4 linked regions of the Drosophila melanogaster genome follow. Changing the gene in region 2 together with the main gene of any one other region gives a genetic interaction. Each region holds a gene or a part of one and is shown on either strand. Other genes may lie near its edges. The genes, in order: neur, Neurl4, qm and Fpps.

Region 1 (4,577 bases), on a different chromosome or scaffold from region 2:
GCTAGCTCTTTAGAAAAAAGCTAGCAAAGTTAGCACAAGCATCTTTGTGTATATCCCCAATAGTTAACAACTGGTATTTATAGTTAATCAGTTGCAAAACGTTTACACTTGTAGAGATAACATTTCGCAGTGTCCGTTATCAAAGCGCGAAATTAAGCAGTGCTTCATATCAGCTATATGAACTATACTATACTACAATAACTATACGCAAACTTCAGAATGACACATCGAGATGATGACCTCATGAGGGGGAGAAAAATAAGTGAAAAAATAACGAAGGGGATGCATGAAAGTGGAAAAATATAGCAACAGATGTATGTAGCGAAAATGCTCAGCATACAACTGTGCTCAACAGAAAATGGCTTACTGGGAAATCAACAATAATATGTTAATATTGAAGCAATATTAGCAAAATGTCTCTTAAACATTATGTTTACAGAAATTTGTTTTTAAGCGGCGACTTACATATTTTGAACTTAATAGAATAACATTTTAGGTCTCAGAAGTTAATGTATGTATATTTATGGTGACCAACATTGTACTTAGATATGTACTTATATGTACAAACTTCCTTGGGGGGTGCGTACCGTCATTAACAATTGACTATTTACTTTTGGCCAACAATCGAAGGTCGGGCGACAATTTGTATTTGTGTGTCCCATAATCGGGGTCTCAAAGACGAGTTGGCAGTGCTCAGTTGCAAGCACACGCACGGCCAAGCAAACCATTTCGAAAAGTAAACCGTGAGAAGCTAAGTAAAAGCCAAGAGCAGATAAACTTTTTAGCCAAAGCAAACGTGGCATGCCAACACACAATAATAATAACAACAACAAACAAGGTACGAAATGTAATAGAAAATGCAGGTACAAAAAAGCAAAAGCAGCTGACGCCGAGCAAAACAACAACAAAGCAATTTCATTGATTACCGATAGGCAACGCACGTTCAAAACAAACGGACTGGAGCCGCCGCATAAAACATAAACCATTGCGGGCTTAAGCGCTCAGCAGAAAAATAAAAACTCCAAACACACTCAAGCTTCAAAGCCACGCCTCTTCCTCTTCTCATCCCGCTAGTCCATGGCTCTTCTCTTCTTCTCCTGCCGTGGATCGTTTGCTTTTCTGTTGTTGCTACCTTTGTTTTTGCTTTTGCCGATGGCGGCAACGGCGCTTCGCGTACAATTCCCCGAAAGGCAACAGCAACAACAACAAGCAATACTGAATGAGGCAGATGCAAAAACAGTGGTGGCGGGAAAAATGGAATCTCTTAAATACAGTACAATATTTTGCATAGCCACTTTTGACAAATAAAACTATTCCAGTGCTGAAGGACTAAATTAATAACTTTTTTTTATTATTCATATTGCGTCGTTCGTTGATATTCGACTGCTAGTTGTGCGACCACAATTGTTCGTAGGAGGCCAGTAAAAATAAAAAAAAAAGGGGTAGAAGCTTAGCCTATGCGTCACTGGCTTTGCTTTGCTTTTGCTTCGCCTGCTTTGGCCAAAAAAGAGAGCATTGAAGCCGAGAATGCAATTGAGCCAAAGTCAAAAAAAAAAGGTGATTTGTTGTTTTTACTTCTTTTTTTTTGTCTTTCCTTAGCTCAGCTGCTTGCAACCAAAACAAAAACAGCGCAACAAATTCCCCAGCCCAGATAATCGTTATGATAAACATAATCGCTCCTTGGGAAAATTGCTTTTGGTGGTATTTTCTTCAACTCAAGATCCCTCCGATCTGGTCTTCTCGATCAATTTGCGGTTACTTGGGTGCGATTGAAAAATTCAGTTTTCGAGAACTGACATTTCCGGCGAAAAAGTCGGAGTGTCGATGTTAAATTCTGCCGAAAAAGCCTTGAGAGAATTTCACATTTAAGATTTTTTCGCGCTTCTTTTGTGTCTATCTAGTCGGAAAAAAACAATTACTATTATAATCGCAAACTGGGCGTGTTCTGGGTGAGCATTTATTCATTAGCTTTTTGTTTTAAACTAACTCAAACTTTTTCGGTTTTTGCTCTTATCTTTCGTTATTTGTTATTGTTCTTGAGACGTAAAATGCTAATGTATGCATAAATGATTGCGGCTGGCTGTGTTTCTCGCTTATTTATCTTGCCGCTTTAATTAACCGAATGAATGAAAGAGCGATAGGTCAGACCACATGCTAATATTATGTGGGAATATCGCTGGAGATAAAAATACGATTCCCAGATCGATGAATAATGTATTTAAGGCATTTTCGCACGCGGTAATTACATTTGCTTCAAGACTTTAATGGTCAGATATCACGAAGGAAGTTTTATATTGTTAAAATGTACTACATCTACTTTAGAACCCAATCACACTGATTTTAAAAATTATTCCTGGATATTCCGAGAATTGTACGTCCTTTGAAAAACGACTTGGAAATTAACTGAATATTCTTGTTAATATATCCATCGATATCCTTAGCCCGATTCTTAGCCTGGTACTAATGCGACTACTAACCCAATCCAAAGCGCTTCTTGATCTTCTTGAGCAAGTGCATTTTCTTCTTGCTAGAGAGCTTGTCCTTGGTGCTCATGAGCAGCTCGTTGGACTCCATGGCCAGGACCTGGGCGGCCTGCTGGGCGGGAGTGGGCATGGCGTTGTGCAGCTGCTGCATCTGTTGCAGATGCTGCAAGTGCTGCTGATTCTGGTGGTGCTGCTGCTGCGGATGGAGAGTTAGGTGCGGATGGCTGCCCTGCATATAGTTGGCTGGTATATCCGATAGACCCATGGTAGTGGATTATTTCTTATTTCGTTATTTAAATTAAAACAGACGAACTAAACGAACACGCGTAATGCTAATGAAAATGCACAAGCTGCTTGCGTATTTTATTTGGCATTAAATTAAGCGATAGAGTTCTTCTTCGAATTTGAATGTTTTCCGTTAAAACATTTTGAATTTGGTTGGTTGTTTGTCTGCGCGCAACGGGAACAAACGAAACGAAACGATACGAAACACAAAGACCGACGACGACAACTTCGAGACAACCTTTCGCTGAGTTTTTTTTCAACAAATAAACGGTGGTGCAGCCTTTTATAGCTTCGCACCAGCGCGACGTCGCTGACGCAGCTCAGCTGGAGAGTAACGGATAGTACTGGCGCGCAGAAATTCTCCCGTCAGATTTGGCTTTTTTTAGTATATGTTTTCAAGATATTTAGAAGTTTAGGTATGCCAGTAAGACATATTTGGAAATTTAAGTTTTTTATAATTACTATTAACGTTTAGTGACAATTTGGGCTGTAGATTTGAATAACATTTCCTGTTTTACAATTTAATTAAAATCAAGAAACGGTAACTAAATTACATTAAAAATGCTTCAATTTATTTAAACTTATAATTTGTAAGCAATCTATTCAAATAATTTAAAATTTATCCATTTTCTGGCTAAGGGCTGTCAGCCCTGAGCGTGGATGGAGCGAAAAAGAGAGCTCAAGAGAGAAAATTATGAGACGCCATCGCTCTCTTTCTCTCTCTGGCAGCTGTTTCTTATTTACTATGGTTTCGCTTTGTGCCTGCTATTCGCGTGTATAGAGCCTCCCTTATAATTTACCTTTATGCCTCTAACTCTGCACCTTGATCAGGGATTCCTCCACATCTTCTCCTGCTGTTGCTCTTCCTGCTTCTTGTTGTTGTTGCTCTAGGCCTGCATTTGGGATTTTGGCCATAGTGCTCTGATCTTCACTAACAGTTATTCTCCTCACCTTAGTGTGTGTGTAGTTCAGCCAGGTTCAAAGCAATTCTTTTTCTTTTTCGCAGGGTTTACAAGGTCTGGCTCATATAACTAGAAAACTATTTCAATTGCCCTAATGCTTTTGATCGTGAACTTTGTGGGCCAAATATCACACGTACATACATATGTGTGTATGTATGTACTCAGTTGGAGTATGTATGGAGTAATTCCATGGGAATTAAAAAAAATTCCCAAACGTTTCTTGATAATAATAATAAATTTCTTCTTTTCCCAATTGTTTTCGGCACATTTAATTGTCCATTTTGTATGTGCAATTTATTTTAATAGAGAATATGAAACGAGATTTGTTTTTGTTTTGATTTTTTAAGTTTGCACTATAAAGATTATAAAATGAAATGGAAAGTTTGTAACTCAATTCCCAGTTTTGAAACCATTAGCTTACACAGAATTTAAAAAAATGTACCTATGATCTGGGACACATGCTATTGTGGTCTCATTTGCTAAGCTTTAGCATTGTGGTCAGCAGGATAACTGCCGTCTGGCGTCTGATCATCCTTTATCCTTTATGGATGCCACGCTGCCATTGATGGAGGATGATAATTGCGCCGAGCGCTCCTTATCCTCATCCTCGTCCTTTTTGTCCTGCATCGACAGACGGAACCGGGCAGACCTCACAGCAGATGCAATTTTCAAGATCGGAAGGGATCAAGACGGGGCAGAAAGCATTTAAATTTTGATATTAAAGTGGAAATGCATATTCAGCATCCTGGCAGCAGGCGTGCGTCCTGGAAATACATCTGCTGCTGCTTACCCGATTTCCCCCTCCTGTTCGCTCAGTTTGCAAAAATGCAAAAAAGGTCGGAGAAGG
Region 2 (7,647 bases):
GATCCTGTCCAGTTTAATAATTAAAGCGTTGATTATGCAGGCGCCAGCCTCCTTAGTAAACCAGCAGAGATCGTTTAGCAGATGAACAGACGACTCGTTGAGAGTAGCGGACGGAGTGACTCCCACGCCGTCGGCACCTTGACCAGTTCCACCATGATCGTGGTCGGTGGATCCCAGGCTGCGCCTTTTCGCCTCGGCCGCAGCCTTGCCAGTGGTCACACCCGAAATCGACTGCCGCCGAACGTAGACCTCGAAGGAAGTGGAGATGCGGTGGAGTCCCTGTTCAGAGGCAAAGTGATGCTGCGGCAGCACGGGCTCAATGACCGTGGCATTGGGCGAATAGTACAGCTCCAGACGTGTACCAGGCTCATCCTTGAGCGCTGCAGCGGCCGGTTCCTCGTCCGGATCCGTTTCTAGCGGAAGCGGCTGCCCACGATCCAGTATCGCCCGAATCTTGTCCACCCGTGTCATGTAGTAGAAGGGCAGCCAGTCTCCGTTGAGATCAAAATGCACTTGGGGAGCGGTCGCCGAGGAAGCGCCACCACCGGCCGATGCAGTCGACGTCGAAGTGCTCAGCACATTAACCGTCTGCTGGTTTAGTTTGAAATAAACCCAACCCTCCAGTTTATCACCATTTCCTCCGATGCTGGGTCCACTGCACTTCAGGCAGAAGCACACCGGCTCAAGTCGGCTATCAAAAAAGGCCTGCGGCAGAACTAGCGATGCACAGAAGCGTCTCACCTGACGCAAATACTCGCAGTCGTTCTGCTCCACACTGGCCCCGGTGGCAGTGGATCGCAGGGAATCTGTTCCTCCACTCGGCCGCGTCTGGCCGACAGAATTCGTGTCGGATTCCATGGAATTAAGGGATGGCAGGTCGAGATTGAGTAGTGACGCCTGATCGGGCATAAGATGATGCCGCGTATATTCGTTCTGCTGGAGTTGCTGCAGCAGCAACAGGTGGTTCATGTAGTCGATCTCATCGTCCTCCAATACATTATCGTTGAGCGCGGGCTCGCCGGACATTTCGCGTTCATTGCTAGCACTCAGTTCCAAGGCCTCCGCATTGTTTTCACTGTGATCGATCGTTGTGGATACAGACGTAATTGCTCCACTTGCTTCGTCGACGGAATTGACTAACGGGTTTGGAGGATTGGGTAGATCATCATACTCCTTATTCGTGTCATATACACCCGAGTTACTCAGGTGTTGCGTATTGGCCGTGCAGCCGCTGGTGCCACTAGATCCCGCTGCCGTTGCAGATGTGTTCAAAGAGTTCTGGAATCTCTGTGTGCTCTGACTGCGTTGTATATTTAAATTAGTATTGTGCTGCAGCTGCAGAGACTCGCGAAGGCAACTAAAGAAATTCAGAAAATTAGGAATTACATTCTTATCCGCATTTCCATTGTCATGCTTACCAAGTCGACGATGATCCACCGAGTTCATTTCGCTGCTGCTCCAGAGTTCGATTCTTAATGGAAATGTTCAACAGCAAGTTCTCCGAAACGCTCTCCATAACCGATCGAGTCCTGCAAAATGATTCCGTACAGAAAACCGGAGTAGACCTATTTATTGATACGCTTACATGGCGTTTGAAGGAGCACCAGAGGTGGACGGGCCCGATTCGCACACCTGCTCCGTGTCCTTTTCCTTCTCGTGCATTTCCAGATGCGCCTTTTCACATTGCTGTGGCATACCATTATCCAATTCCAGGGCCTCCGGAGCCTCGAGAATTGGAGTACCATTGGCATTCCCAGTGCGGCCAGCATCATTTCCAGTTATCAATGTTATCTTCTCGCATTTGCCGTACACATCGAACACGGGATACACATGGTTGGGCAGTCCGCTGGCCAGATCCTCGAGATTCGTTGACCCAATCATAATGACTGAATAAATTTTGATAATTAAAAATAACTTTTAACTTTTTAAATTTAACTTACTTAGCATTCCGGCATGGGTTAGTGTCAGGGTGATCACAGTTCCCACTTGGATCTGCTCAAGGGCATCGCCGTATTTGGAGGGCATCACTTGACCGTTGATGTTCACGTAGTCGTGGGTGGCCAACCAGCAGCTCCGTTTAAAGTCCAACAGGGAAATGGGAACAGTTTGGGGACTTGCGGACAAAACGCCGAGACCGACAGTACCCTTCCACTTGTTGTTTAGGGCATCTACCTTGATGCTGATGCTCTCACCCTTACACAGCGGCTTATTGAGACAGACGATGGACTGGTTATAGGACTTGATTCTGGTCACGCTTCTGCGATCATCGCTGAGTCGTGCGTTCTTTTGTGAGACATCCAAAAACTCGTAGTTCAGTGCCTCGGAATCGATTGATTCCAGCATGGAGCTATCCTGCTTGTTCAGTGGATCCACTCCAAAGTCCATTGAGTCCTGCAGACGCAAACTGCATGGACGTAGTGGCGACGCCGGTCCTTGAGCGGAAATCACTTGAATTCCCATCGTCGAACCTCTCAGTTCGGCAACCACGTAGACATCGTTGGGCACGTTGTGAAAGTGGATGTTCACGTTCTCCGAGTTCAACAGAATGTTTAACGAGTTCTCCACTCGTTCCAGAGTTATCCTATCGTCAACCCTTAACCATTCCAGGGAGGCCAGCGAGCGCTGCAGGCAGCTTGAGTTAAAGCACACCTCGTTTCCGCTAACATACCACACGTTTGCGGGAATCCGGCGAATACTGGTTGGGAGTTTCTTGCGTACGCTTTCGTCGCTTAGATTCAAATCAGTGACCCCGATACTTAGACAACCTACGGACCATTAAAAGAAATTTTTAAAATCCTCTACATGTATGTAGATATCTACAACGGGGGAGCTTACCAGCAAACATGGAATTAACCGATGTCAGCTTAATCTCAAAAGGTGATCCCACGCTGAGCGGATGTTCCGAAAATACCAGACAATGGGATAGTGGTGCCGCCGCTCCCGTAAAGCGCGAGGCCTCCGTCCAATCCTTGGTTAGGCTTACATTTCCGGAGACGCAAGTCCAGCGGTGTTTTGTCTCCATGGCCGGATGCTGAATTACCGATGTGGCTTGGCAGCTCTGGGAATTTTCGCTGGTCGCGTACGGAGCACGGATGTCCAGCTGCGTCTGGGTAAGACTCACCTGCGCGCACTGCCCATACAAATCGATAATGGCCCAAATGTTCGGTGCGTGGCACTCGCAGGCCGGCCCTTGATCCATTCCATCAACAAAGAAGTGAATGAAGTCACCATTGCGCATCACACCAACACGCGTGCTAGGACCTAGGGTATCCAAATCCAGCAGAATATTCGTGCGTATAGTCTTGCGGTTGTGAAAAATCATCGGGCCGCATAAGATGATGGTGTCGCTGGCCTCCAGATCGGTGGCGTTTGGAGCCAACTGGATGTCCTCGGGCCGAGTGCCCGTCACCCCGATCTCAATGTTGCCCGACCAGTGACGAACCATTGTCTCCAGCTCCACTTCAAACAATTCCCTCTGCCTTAGCGGTCGGTTACTGAACACAATTGCGTCATTGAACTCCGCCAGGGAATTGGGACGCGACGCTGTTAGGCCACTATTCGATATGCCCGCATTGGCGCCGTGGATGCTGTGAAATCGCAGCGGAACTTCACTGTACAACGTCGTGTTTGAGATGGTAGAGTTTCCAGTGTCCGGACTACCGCACTCCGAAGTGTCCACGATGCTTGCTTGTGCTGCCTGTCCATACAAATCGATTACACCATAAACGCGCTCGGGAACATTGTTGGCAGCTGGACCCTGATCCACTCCATTTACCCAGAAATGCAAGGTGCCGTCGTCCTTGCGCACCACACCCACTCTATCGCCCACCTGCAAGCGATCCAGGTTTTGACCATACTGTTCGATAACGGTGACTCCATTCTGCATGACCCCGTTTCCCGTCATCATCCAAGTGCCGGAACTGGTTTGGAAAATGGTTGTTTAAAACAACTAAAGTTGGGCTAGAAGCCAGGACTCACCGCACATTAGTCATCGTGAATGGAAAGTCCAGTTCGTCGGCGCTGTGCGTGGTCACTCCCATTTCAACAGAGCCAGCCCATTTGGTCACGACGCGTTCGAGTCGCACTTGGAAGAGTTCGTTGGGGCGCAGAGGTCTCCTTGTGAGCACTACACCATTGTTAAAATCATCGGCAGCACTGCATACAAATTGGGGAATTGAAATTCATAAAAATCTTCTGCCGTAAACAACAATGCTCACTTGGGCCGCAGCGCTGTCCGCCCGCTCTGGGTGACGGTGGCGTGAGTACCACAAATGTGGTGGAAGGTTAGCCGGTCATCGTTCCTGGCTATGGCTCGCGTGCTGGAAATGGTCTCACTTAGGCCGCCGGCAGCGCCAGCGGCATTCATCTCGCTCTCTGGACTTAGGAGGCTCAGGGTTGGGGTGCCGGAATGCTGCTGGTGCTGGGTGTGCTGAGCACCAGCACCACTGGAACATGCAGTCATGCCTGCTACTATGTTGTTTCGCCGTGTCACGAGATTCTGCTGCTCACGTTCATCGCGATCAACTATTGTTACCTTGATAGTCATTCCGTAGAGATCGATAACGCCCCACAAAGTGGACGGTGCTCTGGTGGCGGCCACACCCTGGTCCTGACCGTTAATGTAATTGTGTAGGTTGCCGTTGGCCTTGCGCATCATCCCAACGCGATCTCCCTCGCGAAGCTCATCCAAGTTGAACTCGCCGTACTGACGGCGTGTCCCCTTACCATTGGTTAAAATGCCGCAGCCGGACATCATAATTGTGCCTGAGCGCATGTTGGTCATGGTTGCCGGAAAGTGCAGCACTGCGGGATTGTGCGTGGTGACGCCCACTTCAATGGATCCCGACCATTTGTCCACTAACTTGTCGATGCGAATCTCAAACAGTTCGTTGTCCCTCAGAGGCCTGTGGGTCATCACCACGCCGTTATTGAACTCGTCCAGGGGTCGACGGCGTTCGGCGGATCGAAAGTTGGGCGAAAGCTTCACCAACGACCCACAGCGGGTGTGGAAGCACAGTCGGTCATCAGCACCGGATACGGAGCCATTGCCTTGCATCCAGGCGTCGGAGTCAACGACAATGTTTACGTTCATGGCCACGTCCAAGTTTTGAACAACCTGTTGCAGTGGTTGCTGCAGCGGAGAATCCAAAAGCTGTGTACAAAGAAAACGAGTTTTTGTTTACCTATTCATTTGGATTAGCTGAATTGTTACCTCTCCGGAACCACTTCCATCGCGCGGACACAAGGAAACCTGCACACAACGTCCGTAGAGATCGACAAGAGCCCACAGAGGCTTGGGCATGTTCTTTGCAGCCACGCCTTGCGACTCTCCGTTCACATAGAAGACCAAATCGTTACCAGAGGTGCGCATGACGCCAACGCGATCATTCTCGTTGAGCGTCTCCAGATCGGTGCCATAGAACTCGAATAGGCGTCGTCCATCCTTGCGCACGTCGATGCCGGACATGACCCATGTGCCATTTCGCATGGCAGTGGCGCATGCCACCAGTTCCAGGTCATCCGGCGACTCCGCGGTGACACCAATCTCAATGCTTCCGCCCCAGTAGGTATTCTGCAAGACGATCATTATCCGCAGCTCTATCTGCTGCAGTCGTGTGGCTAACTCACCTTCTTCTCGATGACGACCTCGAAAAGTACATCGTCCTCCAGGGGCTCAGCACTGAACACCAGGGCATGACTGAAATCCCGCATTGAGCGCTGGGCCATCCGGTTGTTATTGTACAGCCGGATGGAGCGGCCACAGCGTGTGTGGAAGGATTGCGCTTCTCTGCCGGTCATGGTTGCTCCTCCAGTTCTGCTTTATCGGTCCTTTTCTCCGCCGCCGCTTGTCGCCGTACAAATCAATCGACAGTCGGAATGGGAACACGGGCGGATTGCGGCTCATCGGCTGTTGGCGATGTAAGTGCTGGGTTCTCGGGCGCTGATGGAAAAATTCCGATGGAGTAGTCTGCAGTTTCCTAGATCTTCACAAAGCATTATGCATTATTTTCAAAGATGTGCCAAACTAAAATAAACAAATGAATATCCTTTTCGTATGACCGTTCATAGATGTAACAAAAATCTATACATTCAACGAACATATCGACTGTTTAGTTGAATGGCTTATCAGTTATTACACTGAAAACAAAGTTCGAGCTATATGTAATTAACAAGGTTTGCTCTTAATTCGCCTAATAAGAAAATACATTTATTTTCAAGTCTCCAAAATCTCCAAGCATCCAAAATTTCATATTCAATTTGAGTTTCAAATTAAAGCTAACTTTTTGGATAATCTTTTTCTAAAAACAGATCACTTGTACTGCAAAGAAATTAAAAACAAAAAACTTTAAACAAAATTATATTAGTTTTAAAACAGTTGTTCCCGGTCGGTTAGGCTAACCACGCTGCCTTCCAGCATCTTAAGCATGCTCTGTTGGACGGCCTCGCCGTGTCACCGGAGATGTTTAACTGGCAGTTGGTTTGAAAAGTTGGTTTGAAAACCTGGGAAGCTTTGAGGCTGAACTTGGCATTTTCTCTCGTCCGAAGTCTGGTCCCTGACGGATGCGACAGAGGAACTGTCGATTAGAGGCTGATCGTAAATTTCAATCAATGTTTCCAGTAGTTTTTGGGGCGACATCTTAATCAAATAATTTTCATGGTGGCCAAGTCAATTTCGCGAGCATACTGCAACTCATAAATAGTGAGGCGATCCTCCTGTTGAGCCATGTAATGCTGCAAACGGCATTCCTCAAATGAATAATCCTCGATGTGATTGGGAAAGTTGCCCAGGCCGCCGAAGGGGCCGAATGCAGATAGGGGCCACGCCCCGCTTTTCAAGTAAAGTTTTACTTCCTCGACGACCATATGCCTTAATGCGAATTAAGTAAGCTGCGCTTACTTGACATCTATGTGCTCCAGGATGCACTCCGAACGAAATACGCGGGAGCCAGTTTAAAACTCCTTGCATACGAACATCTTTATCAAGTGCGCACTTCGCAGTGGATATCCAAAACTTCAAGCCCAATCTCGAGTGTGCACATGCATATGTATAAAATCCGTTAGTTTGATATTTTTACGATTTGTTAAAATATAAAACCGCCATAAGTGATTTTAGAATATTAGTCAATACTCCCACATTTCTTCAATATTTTAATGAACTTACACTACTTCAACGTCTGAAACTGTAAATGAATAGCGATTTTTACGGTCTTATTTGTTCGAGCGATCAATGCACATATTATTGACGCAGTGAATGCGTTCACAGGCTACATAAGGCGTGATTGCTATTTACCTGCTGAACGCACCCATTGACACTGTTTAAATACCAAAAGCCCGTCGACAGTAATACTCCAGCAACCCCAAGACGGTCACACTGGTCGGTGTTACTAAAATAAAGAAACACATTTGTTATTCGAGATTGTCTTAAGCTGGATATTTATTTGGAATATATAGATGCCCCGACGCCATGTCCGCTACGCCACGCCAGAAGCAGTTCGACATGAATCGTAGCCGGGCCAATAACTTGGACAGCAGCAGAAGCGGGTCTGCCAACAACAAAAACACCACGGACAGCACGAAAAATGTGGTTTCCCCGCAACACAATCAACGCAAGCTGCAAGCCTCCATGGAGCGCCTACAGGTGCAACA
Region 3 (7,702 bases), 6.7 Mb from region 2:
GGCGAGGGACGCACCAAGGAACTGGCAAAGTCATTGAACCACTCCAGGTGATCGACGGACCTCTTGTGCCTTATCTGCTCCGAAGCCTTGGATGGCGTTTCTAAGCCATTGGCCGTACGTTGAATGACCAACTTTGTGGAGGGCTTGTAGATGGTTATGTTTGAGCGACGATTTCGAGGCGACTGCATTGAAGTGCTGGCGCTCCTGGCCACCAGATCTCGCTTCTGCTCGAACTGCTGTGCGTTGCGCACAAAGCGATTGCTGCTCGGTCCCTGGATGACGATTTCGAATGGTAGATTCAACGTCTTGGCATTCATCTGCATGGTGCGAATGCACTCAGTATCGGATTGGTCGTCATTACACTCGCACAGGCACTCCTCGCCGCAGTAGAAGCCCAAACAGCCGCAATGCTCACACAGCGCCTTGCAATTCTTCTCGAGCTTCGACTCCGTCAGGGGATTCACATTGCGACTAGCTTTCGTGGATGTGGCCAATGTCGATGGCGGTTTGGTTGTCGTGCTGGACACTACACTTGCTTGGAACTGAATAGCAGCCAGTAGAAGTATCACCGTATAGCCACTGAGGCTGCTCTTCCGTATCTTTTCCGTCATCATTGTGGGTGCTCCAGTTCAAACTGTCTGGCCAATTGCGATGCGCAACCGATTTTATAACGCTGACCAGGTGAAATCGTAGATGTTCGTGACTGACAGTTGATTCTAGCTTACAGTTCGCCGGAATTTATGCTGACTTCGTGTGATCTTGAGACATTTCCCAATTGGGTTCTCTAATTGAGTTCTTTGTGCCGGTTTTTTTTGGCACACTTCGGCGTGCCAAGGCCGAATTCCCGCACTTGAACTTGGCCCAGAACACACATAAATCTTTGTTTACAGCGTTTATTACAAAAGAAACCAAACAACGAGTTGCCACTGAAGTCATTAGCGGCGCTTGCCCTTTCCCTTCTTGCCGCCACCACCACCCCCAGATCCGGATGCATTCGACTGTGGCTGCGACTGCTGGTGGTACGAGTCGCCGGATTTGTTCTGTCGCGTCTTCAGCTGCGGTATCTTGCTGGCGATATGCAGCATGATGGACTCGCGCGTGGGAAAGTCATTATTGTACAAAGTGCCATCGACATTACGCAGCTGGACGCGCACACGACCACGGAACTCCATCTCGCTGCTGTTCTCGCGACAGTACTTCTTGTTCTCCATGAGGAACTGCAAGTTGGAAACGGACAGCACATCGCGAATCTCAATATAGCTGGGATTGTCTACACAGTTCTCCTTGGGCAGCCGTCGACCCTCCTGGCGTGTCTTTTTCCTATTGATGTAGGCGGGATATATGCAAATCCATCTGTGTTAACAACAATAAGAGTTACATGCGAAATCGAACTTTGTGTTTTGTTGGCCAGTGCCTGGTTCCTACCGCTCCATATCGTTGTGTTTCATGCTGGGGCTCCAGTTTTTTTTCATGGGAACTGCTGTCGCCATTCTTTCAGTGAATTCTTGGTTGGTTTATTGCAATTCCTGTGTAATTAACAAAAAATGAGCTAGAAAGCTATTTTCCACGCAAGCAACCCAATTGAAATAGGGATGGCACGTGCAGCTGGCCGAGTAATCGATATTTAGCGAGGAAGCCAATAATTATATGGCTTTTTCTGGCTACTACGTAAGAGGTTATTTATAAGCGACTTAAATTAAAAGAGTACATGAAATAAATTATTTTAGGTAATTTTAATTTTTGGCTTATCTGGTTTAATAGAAGTTGGCGGAAAATAGCCAACATCTATTAAGCCACATTTCCCATCTCTTGTCATATCGATGATACCTCTACAAAAAGCCCTCCTAACCCTATCGATAGAAACATCGACTTGCGATCATCTCCAATATGCAGGCCGCGGAAGAACTTCAATAACAGTCTGTTTTTGGTCTTTCCGTGGTGTAATTGATTTGAGTTGTGCGGATAACGCGAAAAACCAATCGACGAGCGTCGGCCAGCAATTCTAGTCACGCGTGTCGCGAAGCCAAGCGGTAAACAAAAAGCACGCCCCACACCGCAGTGACCCCCCTCCATCAACACCAACACCACCACCCCCCGCGCTCTATCAAAACAACAAAAGCACACACGCAAGGCCACGGCGGAGCAGCAACAAGAAAAACAACAACAACGGCGACAACAATGGAAGAACTGAACATCATATTACAGAAGACCAAAGATAAATCAACGCAAAAGGAGCAGGATGAGGTACTTATCCCACGGCTTAATCCTTCCGGACCCCGTGAACTTTGACATTCGAAAGTGGCAAGCGAACGAGAGACACAACAGCAAACTAACCAGCTATTTTGGCCTTCCTTCCGTTCTCCTTCTTTTTCGACCCACTTCATTTTGGGCTTTATTTACATGTGGCCCACGCACGCAAAACGCTATCCAGATTCTGCTGCAGCCCTTTACATACATACAACAGATTCCTGGCAAGCAATTCCGCTCTGAGTTGGCCTTGGCCTTCAATCACTGGTTGCTCATACCGGGCGAAAAGTTGGCGCAGATCGGAGACATTGTGCAGATGCTGCACAATTCCAGTTTGCTGTGAGTATATATCAATTATCTGATTAATAGCCCTATATCAGATTAATAGCACGCCAATAAATCAGCATGAAACTACAGACAATGCAGTGTTTTTGGCCCAAAAGTGTATATACTGCGTATATACTCTATTAAAAAGTTTAGCAAAGTTAACTTAAGCGATAAATATTATCATAACAAAGTACTGACTAACTGGCATATCAATATTAAAACAAAATATTTTACTAAAATATCACAATACATACTTTTGTACTCACTAAAAATATGTCTGTAAGAAACCATATAAAATCAGCGCTAGTTTAAATACCTGTCGATTTATTGCCAGCCAACTAATCATGCTAGTCGTGCTTTACTTTTTAGTTTTGACCTTTGCCTTCCTTCGTTTTTCTGCTCCCCATTATTTGGCTTTGTTTACGCTTTGTTTGTGCCCCCCCCCCCCCTTCAAACACAAAACACCCGAACGTTTGACCCCCACCCCGTTTTGGCCACTTCTCCTGCATGTTTTATCTCAATTCACACTTGCAGAGTCTGTATTTGTATACATTTGGCTTATTTGCTTTCGTTCAGATGGATTCCAGTTAAATGCCTAATCGAGTGTAAAGTTCTTTTGGGCAAGTGATGAAAACAGTAGAGACTCCACGCTCCAAAAATGTGAAAATGCTGCCATATGCTCGTTGAAGAAACTCTTATCATCATCAGCTCAGTTCGTTTCCACAACGCGCATATGTTATATAGAACTTTGCTTTATCATTTCGTTGACTCACTCGCACTCTTTTCCCAATTGGATTTGACCATATACACAGTCTCGCACATTTGTGGATTATTTGGCCAGAGCGTTGTACGCTGGCCTCAAATCAATTTTCAAATTTCATCATGAGCCCGCAGGTTTCTCTGTTTACAATTGAATTTCTTTGCAATCCAATGTGGATTCGGAAATTGCATAAATTATTTAGATTTTTCCCCCAGGGCGGCCTACGGAGGAAAAGCGATGAATAAGATGATGTTGGCTTGCCAACAAAACAGTCGCAATTAAACTTTGAACTCAGCCAATTGAAGTGTCTGCGCCGCTTTTCAATTGAAGGCAGTAAAGTGAGTCGAAGTGACCAGGGATTTTCGCCTATCTTCAGGCAGCAGCTATGGAAGTATTCATCTCGCTTTCAAGCTAATCCCGTCCTGCCTCCGGCCACCTGTCGCCATTAACCATTCGGAGGCAAACACTCAGGAATGGCCTTAATTCTGCTTAAAATCCCCAGCATTGTTCCTCGAGACAGCAGGCAGTCTCATTCCTCCGCCAAGTGGCCTGCATGTTCTTGGTGTTCCCTACTTTTTTTTTTTTTTTTACGTTTTTAGTAATGCATTTTCATATTGGCAAAAAACTTAGTTTTTACAACGACGCCAGCAGTTGCAGCCATAGTGCCTCCTCGTACGACCCTCGTCCGTCCGTTCGTCATTCATGCACTTATGCCCATTGTCAGTTAGTCAGGCCGTCGCCAGTCGACAGGCATTGTCACAACTCTTGCCACGCAGCCCATTTTCCTCATTTTCCCCAACACCAACCAGCCTCCTTTGCACCCAATCCCCATCCCATACCATACCATTCCTCATCCCATCCTTTCCATATCCCGGCCCCTTTGTGCGTTGTCGCTTCAACGCCCACGCCTTCGTGCCAAGCCATCCAATCCCGTCCCGTCCCCATACCATCCATATTCCCTACCAATGACTTTGCCAGCTTTGGCGGAGCGCAAACATTTTTTAATTACGCAAATGTTGGGCTGCCCAGCTCGTTTTACCCGCCGGGCATCGTAGTTATTGAAGCGATGGCGGCCTTTAAGCGAGGCTTAAATTTACACATCCATTATTTTGGTGGAATGAGGAGCGCCAACGTATGTTTATAAATATGAATGTGGATGGTGGACACATGGAATCCGCGGCTCCCTTCGCTCGAATTGTGAAATTCTATTTAAAAACCCATACTTTTCTATGCAGTACGTGTTCATATAGTGCAATTCTGAATTAATTGCTATACAAAAACATCTGCTGATAAGTAAACTATTGAATCTTAAAACCAAGAACATATTTTCACATTTATTCTAATTTCAAAACATTACTGGCTCGAATTCTTTCTTTGCTAAGTTGATTGTAAGGTAGTAAAATTGTAGTATCTAATGCTTGAAAGTATATTAAGCTTGAATACAAGTACACAATTAACTCACGGCAAATTATATACATGTATGTTCTTGATACTAACTTACAGCATTGATGATATTGAAGACAATTCGATCCTTCGCAGAGGTGTGCCCGTGGCGCATTCCATCTACGGCGTGGCCAGCACCATAAATGCGGCCAACTATGCACTCTTTCTGGCGCTGGAGAAGGTGCAGCAGCTGGATCATCCGGAGGTACGCAAATCCACCTCTACTATGAAGCTCAAAGTAATCCGCGTTTCTTGCAGGCTACCAAGGTGTACACCGAACAATTGCTGGAGCTGCACCGTGGACAGGGCATGGAGATCTATTGGCGCGACAGCTTCACGTGTCCATCCGAGTCGGATTACAAGCTGATGACTGTGCGCAAAACTGGCGGCCTCTTTATGCTGGCCATTCGCCTTATGCAGCTGTTCAGCTCCAACAAGGAGGACTATTCGAAGTTGACGGCTATATTGGGCCTGTACTTTCAGATACGCGACGACTATTGCAATCTGAGTCTGAAAGAGGTGAGTGTATAGATTGGTTGGCAATATGCATAAGTCATTGTTAATCTGTGATAACATTCCGATGTAGTACACGGAGAACAAGAGCTTCGCCGAGGACTTGACGGAGGGCAAGTTCGGCTTCCCGGTAATCCATGCGGTTCGCACCCAAAAGCAGGATAAACAGGTTCTACGTAAGTCCAACGTCTTGACCTCAACCAAAGGCTTTTCACTCATTAAGCTGATGGCTTATGGTTATATCCACAGACATATTACGCCAGCGCACGCACGACATTGAGGTCAAGAAGTACTGCATCACCTTGTTGGAAAAGCTGGGCAGCTTTCAGTATACACGCAAGGTTCTGGAGTCGCTCGACGCAGAGGCTCGGTCGGAGGTTAGTACTTGAAGACAAGCAATGGGAAGTGGAAGTTGCTTGGAAGTCTTGATGATGTTAAAAGTAGAAATTCGCACACATCCCATCGTTGCTACGTGTTTTGTGCTAAACTAAAGTAATCTCTCAACCCACACAGGTGGCTCGTTTGGGTAGCAATCCGTACATGGACCGCCTGCTCAACAAGCTGCTGTCGTGGAAGACGAGCGATAGCGCCAGCATCACGCAGTCGAACCAGATCAATCACAACAACGTCTCACGCAGCAGCCCCAACCAGAACACGCTCAATTGCAATTAGCAGCCAAAGAGGCAAAAGAGGGAGCAGTCGTGAATTGCGAACGGCAGAGCCTCTTTTGCCGCCAATCCGGGACAGCAGCAGGCCAGCAGCCAGCCGACGCCTGCGTGCCTCAGTGCGCCCCTGTTGCGTTTCCTGCAGAAGCTGAAGATATTCTGAGATTTATGTTACCCTTTGCCAAACCGAAAAGCCCACAGAGAACCCCTACCTTACTGTCAACCGAAACCAGAGCGATGAGAACGGAAATAGGAGGAGGATAGGATTTGGATTTGATAGTGAATCGGATGAAATGGGATGGATAACAAAACCAACAGCAGCCTTACAGAAAATTGTTAAGCCAAAAGTAAATTGATATAAGCCAAGCTTATCGTTGAGCTAGCAAAGAGCCATATTACAGCTTTCCAAGAATTTGTTTTTTTACTTTTACATTTTACTTTATACTTTTAATTTAGTTTTGCTTCAAAGTTACGTAGTTAGTTAGCTCGTTTAGTTTCCCCAGTTTTAGTTTCGCCCAACGAATGGGAGAGGGGGGGGGGGGTGGGGATCAAGCAAATCTCGCAGAGCATTACTGAATTATAGAATATGCAATTTTTTAGCTCTTGTATTTCTAAGTGTGTTTCGTATTCGTAACTCAATTCTGCAAGCAATTTTCAATTTCTAAGTGTCATTTTATCAAATCTAACTCACTCGGAACTCAATGTGCACTTCCTTTATCGACGTTGTTCCATTTTAATTGTTATACAAATGCGATTCGTATACATACATACATATGTACTATTAACGACAAATTGTTAATGTTTTATGCAGACACTATAAAATCAACACAAATGAACGCAACTATATATATTGAAATAATGATAATGATGCACTGCACGGCAGGTTTTTGCACATTGCACCACCTAAAAAATATATACATATATTATATATAAAAATATATATATTTTTATTGTAGTTATACACATGAAAGAAACAAAAAGAAATAAACGGCAAGAGAAACCGGAAAAATAACAAGAAAATTAACCAGATTGCTGAAGTGGAAATGGAAAACTATAAACTATGCGAACATTTTACGGTAGAAACGACAACTAATAGCCGAGAATTTACAGTGCACGCCCAGATGCAGCTAAACGCAAACGCACCTAACATTTTGCCCATATACTATATACTACTAATGAAAACATTGAAATATATGTAAATGTATTTAAATAAATATTTATGCCAAGTTGTCAACTAAAGTTTAAGTGTCGGGGATCATTTACAAATAGTCGCCATATCGGCATGTTAACTGCTTATCCAGAATTATACATTCATTTAGAAAGAATACATTTTTAATATCCATTTCTTAACCTAGTAAAAATAGGTTTCCTAACTGTTTTAAATGTGTATTTAAATAGAAAACAATGTAACGTAGAAATACGTTATTGTATGCTTGGTATGTACATAAGTTAGTCATAATTACTTATCCATTAGCTTTTGTTTTCAGGAGACTAAGAGTCCTGCTCAATCATATCCATCAGCTGCAGAAACTCCTGGGAAGCGCCATCGACCTCGTTTTCCCCATCGCCATACTCCTCATAATCATCGTCGTCCTGCATGAAAACCAAATTTTTGAGTAATGGAACAAATGCCAGCTAAAGTTTTTGCAACTAACCTCGAAACCAAAGCAGTTTTTGGCACTGATCTTGGAGTTGGCGCTCGGTTCGTGCTTGACCAACACCTCCTCGTCGCCATTAACCAGCTCTA
Region 4 (4,319 bases), on a different chromosome or scaffold from region 2:
TGAACGGCACTATAAATCGGTTCACCTACAAATCAACGCGCTTGCCTTTGAAGAAGGCTATGCCTGGAAGATAAAACATAGTTTTGAGGTATGCTCACGACATTCAACCTTTTATAACATATGATGTATATCCCACAACATTGCAGGATAAGGCGGAGGAATTTAATCTGGAATTTGAGACACTTCCCGCATTGGATTCTGAGAAAATGCTGCCTGAAATGGGACCTTATTTCCTGGCCGAGTTACCCGACGATAGCACACTTATAACGCGGCAAATGAAACACTTTCCCATTCATTTCGCAAGGTGCGTTAACTTCTCGATTTAAGCTACCAACTCTTGACTAAACTCATTTTTTCAGGGACGTGTTCTGTTCGGAGAATCTTCTTAACTGCGATGAAAAAGTGAACTGGAAGGATTGCCTTCTCGATAAGGACGAAGAAGTGGCGTATGTGGAAGATTTCCGAAAGGCTTTTGCGCCCTTTGATTTTACAGACGATTAAGCAAAGAACATTGTATGTATAGTAAAAAGTTCATATCGGTTGTAATTGCTGAGCCCTTGCTAACAGTTCATCCATGTAAATGCTAAAACTACAATTTAATTAAAAACGTATCCGTAAAGTCGTTGCGCTTGAGTAATTTAGGAGTCACGTTGGTAGATTTTGTTGAGTATTTGCAGGAAGGTCTGGTGAGGCACCCCGCGTGAGGTTTGTTGTATGTGCGTTTTAATCATGTTGTAGGATTCCTCCTCGAAAATGGCATAGGTGGATGGCAGTCCAAGTTCCTTGTACAGTTCTTTCACTCGCTCCACTTTAGCTGGTTCTGCAGGTTAATATTCAAAAGTCAATGTCTAATTGTGCGGGTTTGCTAAGCTAGTTTTACCTTCTTTGCCATAGCAATCGACCATGATTTGCTTTTGCTCGACATTGGCTCGCTGCATTGCCACCACTGCCAGCCACGAGCACTTGTTGTCCTGAATGTCGGTTCCAATTTTACCAGTCACTTCCGGATTACCGAAGCAGTCGAGGAAATCATCTTGAACCTGGAAAAAGTTGCCCATTTCTAGGAGAATGGTCTTCGATTGACGGAAGGCCTCTGCGTCTTTATAGCTAAACAATAGAGCGGAAGATTAATAAGCGGAATCTTATATATGTATGGCCATTACTTACCCAGCCAAGTGCAAAGCAAGTGCGAATGGAAGGTAGAAGGAGTAATAGGCAGTCTTATTTTCGACAATTGCTTTGTAGTTTTCCATTGTGAATTCCGAGACACAGCGGTTCGAGTTCAGTTGGTCCAACGATTGTCCGCAGGTAGTGATGTATGTGATTTCGTGGAAGAGCTCCATTAGGGCGACATAGCAGTCCAAGTGGCTGAAGTGCTTCTTGAGAATGGCATACATGGCGTTTTCAATCATAAGAGCATCGTTAATGGCAGTCAGGCCCACGTTCTCCACCTTGTGCCAGCAGGGTTGGCCGCGTCTGGTGGTGCTGTTGTCCATCACATCGTCTGAGATGATGAAAAAACTTTGGAGCTGAAAAGATGATCGATAACTTTGTATTAGGAAAACTATTTAATGCATAAAACTCCTACCATTTCCACACACCAGCCCAGATACTGGGCGAGCTTTATGTTCTCCGGCGTAAGATCCTGGGTGGGCACTAGATTCTTATACGTGAGCACGGTGAGGATGCCGCGGTTCTTCTTGCCCCTGGGCACATTGTACTGGAGGACTTGGGCGAACCATTTGGCTGCGTCGCTGCAATTGTATGCCTTCGTCACGGTGGTGATGTCACGCACAAGATCTGCACATCGAAATATAATTAGCATTAGTATTTGCATGATAATTGTTACTGGGCATAAATAAACAAATCTCACCTGGGAACACGGCCATAAAGTCGCGACTCTCATCTTTCGACACCGTGACGCGAGCGGCAATGGGAACCGAGTGATTTTGGAGCGTCGATAAGGTTCTGTGGACAAAACAAAAGTCAAGAACAATAGAGCCCATAACTGACACCACCAGGCAGGCACAAATACATACACACACACATGCACGCATCTATGGTCTACGTGACTGCATAAGCGGCTCGATACAAACTTTCTCCCCCACTTGAAATCAAGAAAAAAAGACCCCGAAACTCCTTTTCGAAAATCACGCCCAAAACAGGCCTCCGATACATGCATACCATGCCCATGCCCATACCGGTCGAAATGTAAACAAAACAAACAGGCAAGGCAAAGGTCAAGTGCGAAAACCGGTAGATTGATTACCTGCTAGTCTTCTTCAGCTTCTGTTCGTTGACCAGTTCGGTGGGGAGGCCGCCAATGGTGTCCATGGACTTGATGATGGGCTCTGCGTTGACCTCGTCGCTGGTAGAGATCAGGCGTTGCAGGCGCAGCGGGCTGGCCAGGATCCGCTGCTGCGGCAGGAGCATACGGGCCAGTTTAAACATTTTTATTTAAGATTATCGGCAGGTAACTATCCGCTTCACAAAACGGCAATTCAACTTCGGGTACCAAATTGCCAGTGTGACTGAATCTCGGTTCGCAAAAGAACCCACCTTAAAATTTCAAATAACCATAATACGTTTATAGCAACTATTTTATAGCTGACTTTTATTTTTCGAGAATTTTGTGAAGGTAACTTATAAGTTAAATTTTTAAACATTTTTATTTAGTAAATTCAGGAACAGCAAATGATTTACTTTTGCTGAAATTATTAATTTTATTGCGTGTTAATTAATTAAATGCATTACTATATATAAATCAAAATGCTGACGAATTTAAACATGATGCAAATTGTCGAATATATTTCGATATCAATATCTTCAAATTATATTTGACACTCTGCTGCTACATTTTCGGTCACACTGTTTCGATGTCCCATGAACAGTGTTGGAAATGGCCTGACATACACCAAAGGCAAATTGGCAGCTGAAAACACGAATTAAACTAAAATGATGGATGAGCAGCTAATTGACGAGGTAGCGCAGCACGGAGTGATCTACAACCGGCAGAAGTACTACCTCAACGGCGGCGCCAATGGTGGCAAGTACGAGACGAAGGACGAGGCCTGGCAGCTGATTGCGATGAAGCTGCGCACGGATGGTGAGGAAGACGCGCTCCTCCGGCAGATCCTCTATATAAATGTTGCCCTCCTTTCCAGTGGACACGTGCAAGAAGCGGTGGAAGTACCTACGCGAACGCTACGTGTCGCAGCGGAAGCAGGGCGATCCACCTGTCTACGAACACCTGTCGCGTCCATACCTGGAGAAAATGAAGTTCTTGGACCAGCACATCCAGCCGCGCAAGTCCTACCGCCATGTGCCGAACTTCCTAACATCTCCACAGTCCGCCAACAGCTCCGGCTACAACGAATACCAGGTTGATAAGTCCAATGGCTCCATGAAGAATGTGTCTCAGTTTGGCAGCTCAGGGCAAAGTCATCTTTACCACCAGCCGGATCAGCAACACGCAATGAGTGCTCTGAGTAACGTTGCTGCATCTGCGCTGGAAAACGTCAATGGCCAGGTGAAGATCGAGGCGGACCAGGTGTTCAGGGATTTTGCGGCTGCCGTGGCCTCACAGCAGCTCCAGCACATATCACAGTCACAAATGCAGCAACAGGCGGCGGCCGTTGCAGCTGTAATGGCTGATTCCTCGCAAGGTTATCAGGATCAATACAAGGATGGCTCCGTGGGCATGAACGGGGCCCAGAACAGCGCTGGCAGTCTGACCTCAACATCATCCTCGATGAAATCACCGCTGTCGTCGCCGCTGCAAGGAATTGGGGCAGGATCCCATCATCCTCAGCAGCAGACGCAACAACAACAGCAGCAGCAGCAGCAACAAGCGCAGCAACAGTCGCCGGCATCTGAACAGCAGCTTCCGGTGGTACATTCCTCTTCCAGCGCCACGGGCGCTTCCATCGGCAACAGTTCCACTCTGCAGATGCAACAGTCACATGTCTATAACCCCAAGGGCGATGGTCTAGACTCTTCGTCATCGAGCCATTTCCATATGAAGAAACCCCGTATTCAACTAAATGGCAATGCCCATAACCAGATGACCAGCAATGGTAGTCACTTTGGCAATGACTCGGACGACGAATCCGATGAGAACAGCCATGATCTGATGGAGCCGCAGGCTATGATGCAGCAGGAGAATCACTACAGCAATTCGATGCCCATGCAGCGGGGCAATGGAAATGGGAATAACAGTAGCAGCAATAGCGGGAGCAACAATCCCAGCGGCAATAATAGCCACAACAACCAGCAGCAGCAACAGCACCAGAACATGTTTCCGTCAAACACGGACTTCC

What was found.
Region 1: of Neurl4 (region 2) and neur, changing one enhances a phenotype caused by changing the other (phenotypic enhancement), as found in Drosophila melanogaster (one study listed by BioGRID).
Region 3: of Neurl4 (region 2) and qm, changing one suppresses a phenotype caused by changing the other (phenotypic suppression), as found in Drosophila melanogaster (one study listed by BioGRID).
Region 4: of Neurl4 (region 2) and Fpps, changing one suppresses a phenotype caused by changing the other (phenotypic suppression), as found in Drosophila melanogaster (one study listed by BioGRID).

What each region holds. Positions count from the first base shown.
Region 1 is NT_033777.3:9,030,702-9,035,278, forward strand, and holds the start of neur (neuralized), read right to left. Parts: upstream 3,031-4,577; 5' UTR 2,749-3,030; coding exon 2,478-2,748; intron 1-2,477. UniProt on the Drosophila melanogaster protein: Involved in neurogenesis. Interacts with other neurogenic proteins in the specification of the neuroblast versus epidermoblast cell fate.
Region 2 is NT_037436.4:14,043,871-14,051,517, forward strand, and holds the start of Neurl4 (neuralized E3 ubiquitin protein ligase 4), read right to left. Parts: upstream 6,023-7,647; 5' UTR 5,800-6,022; coding exon 5,629-5,799; intron 5,573-5,628; coding exon 5,213-5,572; intron 5,153-5,212; coding exon 4,218-5,152; intron 4,156-4,217; coding exon 3,979-4,155; intron 3,921-3,978; coding exon 2,836-3,920; intron 2,766-2,835; coding exon 1,941-2,765; intron 1,887-1,940; coding exon 1,586-1,886; intron 1,530-1,585; coding exon 1,419-1,529; intron 1,358-1,418; coding exon 1-1,357. Other genes in the region: CG6833 (uncharacterized protein), read left to right, coding at 7,466-7,647.
Region 3 is NT_037436.4:7,346,432-7,354,133, forward strand, and holds qm (quemao), read left to right. Parts: upstream 1-1,881; 5' UTR 1,882-2,178; coding exon 2,179-2,244; intron 2,245-2,431; coding exon 2,432-2,586; intron 2,587-3,972; exon of another isoform or gene 3,973-4,371; intron 4,372-4,837; coding exon 4,838-4,982; intron 4,983-5,035; coding exon 5,036-5,296; intron 5,297-5,363; coding exon 5,364-5,466; intron 5,467-5,539; coding exon 5,540-5,667; intron 5,668-5,803; coding exon 5,804-5,962; 3' UTR 5,963-6,302; exon of another isoform or gene 6,303-6,911; 3' UTR 6,912-7,191; downstream 7,192-7,702. Other genes in the region: CG14834 (uncharacterized protein), read right to left, coding at 1-614; Srp19 (signal recognition particle 19), read right to left, coding at 936-1,353, 1,426-1,490; CTCF, read right to left, coding at 7,447-7,548, 7,611-7,702.
Region 4 is NT_033778.4:11,304,992-11,309,310, forward strand, and holds Fpps (farnesyl pyrophosphate synthase), read right to left. Parts: upstream 2,538-4,319; 5' UTR 2,452-2,537; coding exon 2,270-2,451; intron 1,969-2,269; coding exon 1,874-1,968; intron 1,801-1,873; coding exon 1,589-1,800; intron 1,530-1,588; coding exon 1,168-1,529; intron 1,108-1,167; coding exon 881-1,107; intron 821-880; coding exon 639-820; 3' UTR 520-638; downstream 1-519. Other genes in the region: CG7741 (uncharacterized protein), read left to right, coding at 1-88, 147-304, 360-501; CG7745 (uncharacterized protein), read left to right, coding at 2,956-3,106, 3,165-4,319.